3 linked regions of the Tribolium castaneum genome follow. The protein of the gene in region 2 binds, or shares a complex with, the protein of the main gene of each other region. Links are inferred from orthologs where the notes say so. Each region holds a gene or a part of one and is shown on either strand. Other genes may lie near its edges.

The links.
Region 1: HDAC1 (region 2) and Myb share a complex: the UniProt entries of both Drosophila melanogaster proteins name them as parts of the DREAM complex. The link is inferred for Tribolium castaneum from reciprocal best matches to the Drosophila melanogaster genes HDAC1 and Myb.
Region 3: HDAC1 (region 2) and Dp share a complex: the UniProt entries of both Drosophila melanogaster proteins name them as parts of the DREAM complex. The link is inferred for Tribolium castaneum from reciprocal best matches to the Drosophila melanogaster genes HDAC1 and Dp.

The regions. Positions count from the first base shown.
Region 1 is NC_087396.1:14,744,983-14,748,634, reverse strand, and holds part of Myb (myb-related protein B), read right to left. Parts: intron 3,644-3,652; exon of another isoform or gene 3,334-3,643; intron 3,202-3,333; exon of another isoform or gene 2,385-3,201; intron 1,289-2,384; coding exon 839-1,288; intron 784-838; coding exon 465-783; intron 417-464; coding exon 262-416; intron 1-261. UniProt on the Drosophila melanogaster protein: DNA-binding protein that specifically recognizes the sequence 5'-YAAC[GT]G-3'. Component of the DREAM complex, a multiprotein complex that can both act as a transcription activator or repressor depending on the context.
Region 2 is NC_087394.1:10,698,090-10,702,333, forward strand, and holds the start of HDAC1 (histone deacetylase HDAC1), read left to right. Parts: upstream 1-1,361; 5' UTR 1,362-1,544; coding exon 1,545-1,593; intron 1,594-1,904; coding exon 1,905-2,017; intron 2,018-2,071; coding exon 2,072-2,513; intron 2,514-4,244. UniProt on the Drosophila melanogaster protein: Catalyzes the deacetylation of lysine residues on the N-terminal part of the core histones (H2A, H2B, H3 and H4).
Region 3 is NC_087398.1:7,907,957-7,912,313, reverse strand, and holds the start of Dp (transcription factor Dp-1), read right to left. Parts: upstream 2,838-4,357; 5' UTR 2,488-2,837; coding exon 2,439-2,487; exon of another isoform or gene 2,258-2,438; coding exon 2,142-2,257; exon of another isoform or gene 2,123-2,141; intron 275-2,122; exon of another isoform or gene 127-274; intron 1-126. UniProt on the Drosophila melanogaster protein: Component of the DREAM complex, a multiprotein complex that can both act as a transcription activator or repressor depending on the context. In follicle cells, the complex plays a central role in the site-specific DNA replication at the chorion loci.

The sequences.
Region 1 (3,652 bases), on a different chromosome or scaffold from region 2:
AATCGTTTATTAGAAGGCACAGAGGTCTTATCTTCGAAAGTGGTATTTCGCACATAATTATCTAATTATTTTCAAATTATCATCGCTATCTATTTTACCTTCAATAGCACAGAGTTTTGCTTTATCAGATGCAATTGTTCAGTTTATAACTATTTCTCTTATTATTTTTAGTTTATGTTTTTGTGTTATGAAATAGATCTGGCCATTCAACGAATAACCATAATTAGCTAGAAATTGGGTTTGATGTCCTTTGATTCTTACCCGATCTTCAGCGCAGTCCGACATGATATCCTGGCCTTCACTCTCCCTTCTTCGCCTCGACTTGGCACCCCGTCGCAGGATGGGAGGAGTGGAGGCTCGGGTCATATTTTCAGCAGGTACTAAAGTGTTTTGGTTGAGGTTCGGCGGTGTCAGGCCTGCAAGCAAGCTAGAAATGACGTTTTTCTGACACTTGACCAACTTACGTGACTTGATAAAGTGGCGACTTTCGGAGAAATCCCTCAGTGGGTTTATTCCACTCGGGGTACAGTATTTCAGGTCAAAATCGTCAGTCATTGGTGTTAGTTTCACGGGACTAGTTTGGTTGTTGTACGTATTTACATCAAGGTAGCTGTATGATGGCAAATCTGCTTTAACTGAGGTCGTGGAGGGTGGAGGCGAGGAGGAAAAGCTGACGACCGTATGGCTGGGGGTCAGAGGACCTGGACTGGGGGTGGCCGTCAGAGAGAAACCGCCTGTGCTGGACTGGTTGCTTCCATGGTCGTACGTCTCCAAAGTCCATTCCTGCAATTAACATTAAAATAAAATAACCGGTCGTAACGCAATCCCGCGTGCTCACATCATTGATAATCAGATTATCCTGGTTGACACTGCGACTATCACAATTATCAATGGTCACAACTTGGTGGTTCTGGTACTGAAAGGCCAGAATGTCTGCTTGTTTTGTTTGGTTCTTTCTGGCTCTCCCACGGCGCGTCTCCCCGTCTTGGCGGTTCTCGGTCTCGTACCTCCGCCGCATGGTGGAGTTCCAGTGGTTTTTGATGGCATTGTCCGTCCTTCCGGGCAACAGTTTGGCGATTTTGGCCCACTGGTTGCCCAAAACCTTGTGCGCTTGGTAGATAATCGTGTCTTCGTTCTCCGTCCAAGCGCTCTTTTTTATTTTGGGGTTGAGGTGGTTGTGCCATCGCTCCCGACACTGTTTGCCGATACGGCCCTTCAGGTGACGCGCAATCAAGGTCCATTTCTTCGCTCCGTATTTATTCACCAATTCGATCACTTTTTCGTCTTCCTGGAAACACAGAAACAGAATTACAACTTCCGTTTTTTTTTCTTTAATTGATTACGTAACGTGTTCCCACAAAAGTCATAGTTCACAAAACACATATGGTGATGCTTTGAGGGTCAATTTGCGCCATTTAGGGCCATATGGTCGTAACGCATCGCCTGGTTTTCACGAAAACGTGTGAGAATGCCCCCAAAGTGGAGCAGAATTTATGAGAAAAATTTTGATTGCCATCGTTGGTAAAAAGGTTTGGATTACAATCAATTCTTTAGTCAAATAAAAGTGGTCAATTTGAACCCCCCACCCGTTGGGAACTCACAGCTGTGAAAAATAATGCTTTGGAAGCCTCATGTCCTGTATCAGATGGATGGAACTAGCGGTGAAATATTTGTTATGTGGCGATTCTTTTGTACTGGATCAAATTATAGTCAGGGGGAAAACACAATACTGTTACAATTAATGAAAGAAAGAGACAGGTATACGATTCGGCATTTCGTCCCTATAGGTATGAGGCAAGCTAACTGTCTTAAAAAATTTGCAAATTGCTTATCATTTGTTCCAATATTTTTTAAATTTTCTTTTTCCTTATTTGCTTTGTTCAATCTGCTCCTTATTTTTCTTTATATAAATAAAATAACCGAAGAAAACAAAGGCTTGACTTTATGCTTGCAGCAATATTTTTTAACGTTTATGTAAATTAATACAAAAATTTCCTAAGCAATAATTACTCGTCATTAGTTCATTACATAAACACTAGCCGTTTTTTACGTTTATAACTATATTTCTACAACATTTTCTGATTCCTTAATTTGAAAATCATTTTGATCTCAAGAAAAACTCAAGAGACGAAGAATTGTGGCAGTTATTTGAAAAATTATTTATTTACAAATAAAAATGCAAAATCAAATACCATTGTAATATGCGTTTATTTAATCGAATACAATTTTTGCTAATTTTTACGGAATCTCAGGTGGATAAAACCGTTTCTTACGCTATTGATTTAAATTCAAATTTTTCATCCTGATTGGTGTTGCCTAGACAACGCTAAACTGTCAACAAAACGAGCCAATCAAAACTCGTTATTTTAAACAACTGTCACGTGCAACAAGCATCATTTATTGCAAAATGAATGAATGATTAATGCTTATGAACAAACGTAATCAAAAACTGTAAAATTAACGAACAAATGTTAACTCAATTTGAGCTGAGTTCGTGTATGTCCGATTCAAATTACTTTCGGTAATGACCGTTAGTAACCGTTTCAGGTTGTCTTCATTACAGGTCGTGTTTACTCAAATCGTGTTTGAAGTGTGTCCGTTCCTTTGTGTGCGGCCAAATTCCTCCATAAAGCATGTAAATGTGCAAATTACGTAAGTACAGCAGCCCGAGGGGGCTATAAAGCAGCGCGTTTGAAAATGTCCCCCGCAATTGTCTTGTACTCGTTGATTTACGATTCGATCTTGTCTCGCAAAAGAAAAGCGTGGGAAGCCGCACAAGCTTGAATTAAAATCATCAAGTCGGGGCCGGGAGGGTTGAACGATCATCATATCGTGGCTAACGTGGCCCTGAAGACCGCCTCAGATTACAAAGTAAGGTGTGCCCGGACTGGATAAGAACAGTACCGTCCAAAACAAACCAGTTGAATTACGCTTTATCGTGGCTTAATTATACACACACGAAAAAAAATTGTTACGTGAGCGGGGGCGCGGGGTGAAGATTCACCTTGACGCAAGTTCAAGAGCCCATTCAGATTTAGGCACTCCCACAACGAGGCCCCATGAATAATGGTGTAGTAACAACGGCTCCGAATTGAGAGATTAAAAAAAACTAGTTTGGCACAGTTCCGACCGTTATGGGCAAATTCAAAGTTTTTTTCCTGTTTTTATTGGCACGGAATTTCGACGGGATGGCCTTGGCAGGTATGTCGTGGTCGGAATAACAGCCAAAGCTTGAGCTTCCTTCCTCGAAGGCATTATTATTTATAAAAATAGAAATTCATATATTTTGATATCATTGATCGAATTTTCTGGCTAATATATTGTTTTCCACAGGTAAAACTTTGTGGCAGGTGCAAAAGATCAGTCTTGTTTGACGGAAGAATAACACTGAAAAGTGCCAAGTCATTTTTAAAACAAAAGGAATTAATGCACTTTTTTAAGACGCGGAATAATGGATTAAGCTGTTACCCAATTATGGATAAAACTTCAACAATGTATTCCTGTAATATAAGACCGTTGTCGGCAAGCGCACATGGTGTACACAAACAAACACAAACAAGAAAACAAACACAGTAGAGGTGGATACAATTTATTATTGTTTGAAAATAAGATAAGCTCCGAATTAAACAAAATAATTTGTTAACTGAAGTTA
Region 2 (4,244 bases):
TTTCGTGTAAAATATCAATATTAATATGCTTGTTTCTGACAAAAAAACTATAGAAAACCCAACAATGAGAGTCTGTTTAAACAACATTTTTTTTTATTAAGAAACATTCTTAAATACACAAAGCAAAACCACGTAATGTGCAACATTTCATCTTATTTTAAAAAAATTTGCTTTCTAAAAAGCTAGATTTGTGTTTAAAGCGGTTTCGCTGCTTTAAACTCTCAAATATTATTAATTTTTTTAAATTTATGGGCCGGTTTATAAAAGGCTCTGTTAAAATTGAATTCGTTGTTAAAAGTTAACAACGCGAATGAACCAACCAAATGACTTCAATTTGGTCACGTAATCAGTTAATCACGCATTTTATAACTGATTAAATTAATGACGTTTTTATAAACCGGTCCTATGATTAGTTATGATAATTAAACTAGTTTACAAAAAATTTTTTCTTTTACCAAGAAATAATTTATACTGATTTTGTTTTCTTCTCACTCACTAATAACGTAATAACTAAAATATATCTCACATTTGTCTATCACGTCTTGTTTTTTTAATATATTCACTAAAAGTTTTGAAAATATATTCGTTGTTTCTGTGATAAACTAATAGTTAAACATTGTATTTGCTTTAAAATATCGTCAAGTAAATGTAGATTAAGCCCAAACAACTTTTGTTTTTTTGTGGTAAAATTATCTTAGTAAAACCTGAAAAACTTAAAGGCAAGAAATAAGAATTTCTCAGTTTCGAATGTAAAGGGAAAAATGTTTAGGAATGCAACCCCTTAATTATTTCTAACTAAGTGTAAAGAAGAATTTAGAACTTGCTCTACTGAAAACTGCTAACCAATCTTCATAACATATAATTGTTGTTTTCTTCGATAAATAAGTTTTTTACAGTAGAGGCTTCCTTTTTCATGAGAATTTTTGTATGAAAAGCTGATTTTTGTTCATTAGTTAATGTGGCATTATTAGCGGTGTAGTTAGAAAAAACAGTTCTAAGGAACAAAGTTGTGGTGAATTATCTTCTACGATTCAGGTATTATTTAATTTTCCATTATTCGAACATTGGTAAAAAACCGTCTTCAACGTTTTTGGGACCCCTTCGGTTGAAAATCACAGCTTTCTTGATTAATGAAGGGTCAAGGGACTTTCCCTTCGTTAATCAAGGAAGCTGTGGATATGGTCTTAAGGACTCTTCTAAAGAAAAGAGATGGCGCTACGTAAGGAGAGTTTTTTTAAGTTAGGAGAATCAACTCCAACAATGAAAAAGAAAGCTTTGTTACGGCCTTAATGGTGGCATTACAATGCAAAAACGAAAAGAATCACCCTGTTTATTTTTTAGTAGGGAAATTCAACTTTACACTAAATCGCCACCGGTGCTAGGTTGGCGTCCTTGCTGCGGGAACAACGGTGCCATTTGCAAAGCGGCGTGTTGTGCTACCGCCGTAATTCTAATAATTTAAACAAATTGTTACAAAGTGAACAGTGATTTGTAATAATTAAAGCCAAAGTAATTAAAAACAATTTAGTTTTCTACAGTACAAGATGGCCACACAACCTCACAGTCGGAAACGTGTTTGTTACTATTACGACAGTAAGTAGCCACCAATTTCAGCCAAACATGAATTATTCCACCATTTTGGGGCGTTTGTTTTTGAAATTTGCCAACAAAATGCATGCGTTTGCTTAATTTTGTGTCGTATCGTGCTATCATGTAAATACGATTTTCGAAACCGTAAGCCTGGAAATTCACGGTAGACTACGGTCGCGGTATTTTTGCTCGGTGCTGATTGGTTAGCTTGGTTTATGATGAGATGATGACGCTTTTTTGTACGGTGTTACGATGGCGAATGTTATTAGTCCATCGTGAATTTTGATTCAATTCTGATAATTTTGAATTGTTAGGCGATATTGGGAATTACTATTATGGGCAAGGACACCCCATGAAGCCCCACCGCATAAGGATGACCCATAATTTGCTGCTCAATTATGGTCTGTACAGAAAAATGGAGATTTATGTGAGTATTTAATTTCCATGAATTGTTGGTGTTATTTAGTTTTGACTTTCCCAGCGCCCCCATAAAGCCACTGCCGAAGAAATGACCAAGTTTCACTCGGATGACTACATTCGATTTCTCAGATCCATCCGACCTGACAACATGTCTGAGTACAACAAACAAATGCAGAGGTTTAATGTAGGGGAGGACTGTCCTGTCTTTGACGGTTTGTACGAATTCTGCCAACTCTCAGCTGGGGGCTCAGTGGCGGCAGCTGTTAAATTGAACAAGCAAGCGTCCGAAATTTGCATCAATTGGGGCGGGGGTTTGCATCACGCGAAAAAATCCGAAGCTTCGGGCTTTTGCTACGTAAATGATATTGTTCTGGGGATTTTGGAGCTGTTGAAGTACCACCAACGCGTGTTGTACATCGATATTGACGTGCACCACGGTGACGGTGTCGAAGAGGCTTTTTACACCACTGACCGGGTGATGACAGTCTCGTTCCACAAATACGGTGAGTATTCTAAAAATAAGACAAAGGGGCGAAACGAGATACAAAATAACTCGATGTTTTTACCAAAAATTTAGTCCCCCAGAGCATCAGTGCTCCATAGCATCGTTTTGGTTTCATTTAAATTAATTTAAACTCAACCGGTTCACTATTTGTCTGAGAAAAATGTGCTGTTCTAGGGGAAAAACATTATTGAAATGTTTTTAAAACGTTGCAAATACGGTTAGTAAAATACAAAGAGGTGTATAAGTATTAAAGCAAACTGTTCGAAACATTTTTTATATGTCGAGAATTACTTAAATATTTTGTTGTAAAATTTTCTTCTAATACGGTCAGAAGTTTCCAACAAAGGATGAAAATTGTATTACTCTGAATAATTCAGCTAACTTAAAGTCGTTTTATAGATGAAAAGCATTTTTTTAAGAAATCTCATCGAATAAAGGCAAAGAATGTGTTTGCTTTTTTTAATACCTACTTAAACACATTTCTAAGGTAAAAATTCACTTTTCTTGCTTAGTTTTATATTACTTTTGCCTTTGTTTTTGTCAAAAAAAAAAAACAAAAATGAAGATCGGAAATGATTTTATTTTGGCTTTTTTGTTCTTGTTTTGAGTGATTTTCTTTGTTTTTTTTTTCACAATTGCTTTAATAACTCGGTAATTTTCTGAAATTTATATATTCTTTGGACATTTTTAGTTCTAGTTTTATTTATTAGTTTCAATCAATTTAACATTTTGCTTAAATAGGTTTAAAAAGGATTATCAGTGGACATCGAATATCCATTTTTGCCTTTCTTCAGCATTTTGATTAAAAACATACCTATTTCTCATAAATTGGTTACAACAGGACCAAAAATCATTAGTAATCTAAGCGAGAAACTCACTGTGAAATGACCACTTTTGTATGACTTCGTTAAACACTCCGAACATTTTCTTTATTATGATTTCGTTGTTTGTATGATTTCGTTAAACACTTTGAACAATTTCTTTATTACGTAGAAAATTACGGTATTTTTATTATTAAACAAGTAAGTATTAAACAAGTGTAAGATGATTTTACTTTTTTCGTAAAACTGCATTAAAACGCCAAAAATAATTTAATTACGTTTGAAATACCGGATTTTTATTTTAAATATGCAAAACTTTGTCAGAAGACCAATGAATGATCTTGATAGTTGTCGTTCCTTTCGGTGGGCTTACGGTGACTTGTTAAAACAAGATGAGAAATTATTTGATACGTCGGAAATGACGTGAATTTTGAGCGAAAGGTCGAAAATAATGTGAATTATTTTGATCAGTTTTTCTAGAATTGGGTCGTTTTTTTTTTGTAAAATTTGAAGTACAAATGCCGAACATATCACATAATTATTATTTTACCTATAATTAGGTATATATTATTTTTGCTTTTAAGCACACTTCTCACTTTTCTGTTGAAATTTCGCTCAAATAGAGCAAGTGATTATCAATAAAGTTATCGAATATTACGTCACTTTGATTTTTTTCCACTTACTCATAGTAATTCGCATTAATTCGCTAGAATAACAGGCCAAAAAAATCACAAATGAAGGTAGGGAATGACATTACTTTGGTCTTTTTCGCCATACATATTTATGTGGGAAACTAAGATTTGTTGCAATTTTGTCAATAAATGAAACTAGATGAAAATTGACGCTCTTGTGGCCTTTTTAGAATAATGTAAGATGTAAGTCATTTTGTAATTTTTATTCTTCTGTAT
Region 3 (4,357 bases), on a different chromosome or scaffold from region 2:
CATTTGTTATCTACATTAATCGTGGGTTGGCTTTATCTGTAAAAGCTTGAAAGCAATCAAGAAAATATTGCCAGTCTATCCACGAAAATACTTATTTACACTTTATGCGTTCGGCTTAAAAACAGACATGAACACTGTTATCTAGGGTTTTTTATACCTAGGAAAACCTTATCTGTTATCAAAGTCGTAAATTTATTGCTACCGAATTAGGATGAAAGGTGCAACAATGATCTTACTTAAAATAGCATATAAACAAGCGTAAATGTAAAAAAAAGTAAGTCCAAAGTTAAATTATATCCACTACCATCTAAATTATGTAAAAAATCCATACAGTAATCATTTACGTAAAAACACTAGAAACTGATGCAATGTGAAAACCTAATCGCACGAATGAATTCAACTAACCACCGGTTAAAAATATCTCGATATAATTTTTAAGCCTGTTTCGTTTATCGACGATAATGTATAAAAGTTGAGGTTGTTAAAAGTTATAAAGCTTGAAACTTTGAAACCGTTGCGTGCCTTCGTGGATGATGTATCGCAAAGATTAAGGACTGTAGTAACGCAAAAAGCCGTTATTTCGCAGTATGAAAGAACCTTTTGCCCTTTAACAAAAGGAATTAATTTTACGCGTTAAAGCAACTGAAGTCATAACGCGTTTTTACATCCAAGAATGGGCCAAAAAAGTTGTCACAAACAGGATTCCCAATTCAAGCAGAAATAACAAACACGACAGTAACTCCTGAAGCTTTTTATGTAAATAAATAATCAAACACGTGTGCCCCAAACATGGTCTTGGATTGTAATGTCCCAGCGATTTTGATTGGGAAAAATCGTGATCGCAGACTGGCAGTGTCTCAACTCAGGTTCAAGGATACCTCAACAGGTTAATGGGAAGATCAGATTTATGATAGGTATTATCTGCCATGTCGCACTAGTTCCATTAGGAATTTTATTGACGGGATATCAAAGAACAAACGTTTGTTAAGAACGTAGCAATCAATAGCGATGCTAATCTGATAGCGACAGATATGTATATTTTATGGGGCCACTATTAATTAAAAATTAATGCAATTGCCGATAGCCACGGTCAAGATAATTAGAAGTAGACGTTTTTTGTCCTGTGACTAGAATCATAATTATCTCCGCTGTTTTAATGAGCTCGTCTTCAATAAAGCAATTTGAATAATCATTATCGATAATAAAGTGAAACGTACTAAAAAACGGAAAAGTAGTTTTTAAGAACTCTTAAGTTATACATAAAATAAACTGGATGTGGAAAATGCGCAGACGCGTGGTAAATATTGAGCAAAACTTGAAAAACCATTCATCTTCAAAATAGCCGGGCGCGGTGGACAGTGGACACACTGTATAGTACAGTAACACTTCGTTAATCCGAAGGTGATTCGGACTACAAAAAAATTCGGATTACCAGTAGCAACATAGTAATTATGTTTACAATCAGAAGAAACGTGGAAGCTTTAGTAAGCACACAAGTATAAAAATAGTTAGTAGTGGAAATTAATAACTCCCTTGAAATAATAATGATGTAGATTAATCCAATTACAGGGACAGGACAAGAAAGTGTTTAAATCGACTAGTTTTGTTACTGGCGTTGATAACACTCGATAATTTATCTAATAATTATGATTTTTGTGTTAATCTAAAAACCTATTCGGACGAGAAAAGCTTCGGACTATTGAGATATTGCTGTACCTATTAAGAGAAAAAGGGGTGACTGAAGGTGGGGTCTGAGAACCGGTTTCCGACAAAACAATCTAAAATATTTAACTTACAAGAGGTAAAAAGCTCGGTTTTTCTTCAATGACGCAACCTTATGAGTTTAACTGCTTTTGTGATCCAATAAAATTCACGAAACCATTACAAATGCGTGGCGATACTGATCTACCTCCACACAAACACGCGATAATTATGGTCAAGATAAATTAGAAACAAAAACAGAAGTAGTCGAAAATAGGCAAAGACATGCAAGAAAGATGAAAGAGATGAATGAATTGTGCAATTACCCCGAGATAAAAATTCGATCAATCGTTCGAAAACTTAGGAATAGATGTAAACAAATCCGTCTTATCTTTAACGAACTACAAACAAATTAATTTAGGGGGGAACGAGTGGAATACCTGGAGCGGTTCCTGGCTGTTCGGCGATTTGAAAATCTTCATGGGCTGCCCTGCCACCGAGGTCACAATGCCACTTATGGGCTTTCCACTGGGCTGGACCACCTTAATCATCTGCCCTGTTACAGAAAAAACGAATAAAACACGTGCACTGAACCCGCTTTTCCTCCCACATCGAGGCGGTTTCCCCCGAAACTCGGTCCTTTCCCGCCCAGCCCCCCAACCGGCAACTGTTTGCCCCCGCACCACTTCGTTGTGGGCCCCCGTTTTGGAAAAACCCCCGAACCCTTTAAAAATTACCATTGGCTCCCTGGATCACCCAGTTGGTTGTGCTGTTCTGCTGGGTCATTTTCCCTCTCGTGCGAAACACTCACTCGCCGCCCCTTTAGCACATTTCCTCAAAAACGGGACACTGTCGAAAAAGCACCGGTTTTTAAATCCGAGCTCCTCTCCATCCAACTCCAACAAAAATGGCGACTGTAACTAGGCGATATTTTGGAATTGAAATAGGCGGACCCCGCGCACCACGAATTCGGTTTAAACAACTCGCGAAGTTTCCTCGAATATCGCAATTTGCTAATTTCGCGCTTTTTAACTGCTTGCTTGCGATACAACACTTGGGGGTGTTTTTGAAGATGAGCTATTTCGTGCAAGGAAAGCCACTACCAGCTTGGCGGCGGGTACAAAGGCATCGCTCCCATTGGCTGGATTCCTTCACGTGGGACACGCTGCTCCTAGTTCGGGCAAGCGGCACGAGGGAGCGATGCGTTCGAAATATTTTGGCGCCTTTTTGCCTTGCGGCCCCCGCACGGGGCGCACGAGGCCCTGACACCGGGCAAATGCCCCGGAAAAAACACCCAGGGATGCAGTTTCAATAATACGCGGCTGTCAGGAAAGGTGCACCCACCGAACAGGCCATCGACAGAAACGTGCAAGACAGAACCTTAAATTATTAGAAAGGCAGTATTCGCTAGGTGTCGCTACTGCAAAAATACTATTTTGCACTATAATGACGAAATAGTCAGTAAATACGGTAAACACAAATGTAAAAGAATAATTATAAAATACTATTTATTACCTGTTTCGAAACCATAAAAATGCCAACATCACATTTTCTCTCAAAATTTGTTGTAATGGGTCAATTCACGACGGTATGCGTGTGGATATGGTAAATGTAATGTAGTTTTTCGACCTGTTATCTTCTTATAGATCTTAATACTAATTGTTCATACTCTTCTGACTGAATTTTTAGTCATCATAGCATGAATAGCAAAGGAAAGAAGCTCATACCCACACGCAAACCGTTATGAATTGACCCCATCAATATTTTGTAATTTTTGTTTTTATTTTTTAAAGCAAAAACCAAAAAAATACACGTTTTTAAGTAGAATATTTTTTTGGGGATTTTTTTTTTAAATCCAAATCTGTCATTGCCTTTTTCAAGACGTTCTTGATGTTAGAGTTACGACACTCAACTTTAGCCATATTTGATACTTGCATTTTTTAAAAGTTTTTTTATTTCTGCTAACAATTCGATGTATCACATAATGATCAGCAATTTTCGTAAAAATGCTTTTTCTCCATTTTGATCAGCATGTAATATTTGATCATATTTTGTGATACATCGTTGAAATCAGAAATAAAAACGACAAACGGACACCCTGTATTTATAAATATGTTTATTGCTGATTGTTTTTTACAGCCGTAAAACTATTTTTTTGTATTCTTATATTGCATATGAAATATAGATTTGTCGAACATGTAACATATAAAGAACAGTTTATTGAAAAGCTAAAGCGGCTTCAGAGGAATAAAAGTGCCGAATCAATTTTAGTAGAAACGAAAATTTAAACATTTTAAAACAACAATGAAAATTGTTGCTAAATACAAAAATTATGTAAAAATAAATACATTTCTGAAAATGAAAATGTGTCCTGGGTGTCGATTCTAAACCAATACTTCGACTCGAAAAGTGTTTTGAATGCTTCTGTTTATGATTTTTTAGATTTGACTGATTCTGCCGATGTCTGTTTCTAGAGATGTCCTGTTCTGTCGCTAATTTTTTGTTGAACACCACCTCTATTATATACGTGAATTTTTCTAGATCAGTTCGCGTCCTCAATAAACCGCGTTATTGGACGTCGTGAATGCAAATTTCGCGTGTTTATAAATAATTTAAGCGGATTTTATTGAAATCGCAATCAGTCGGTTCGAGCGGT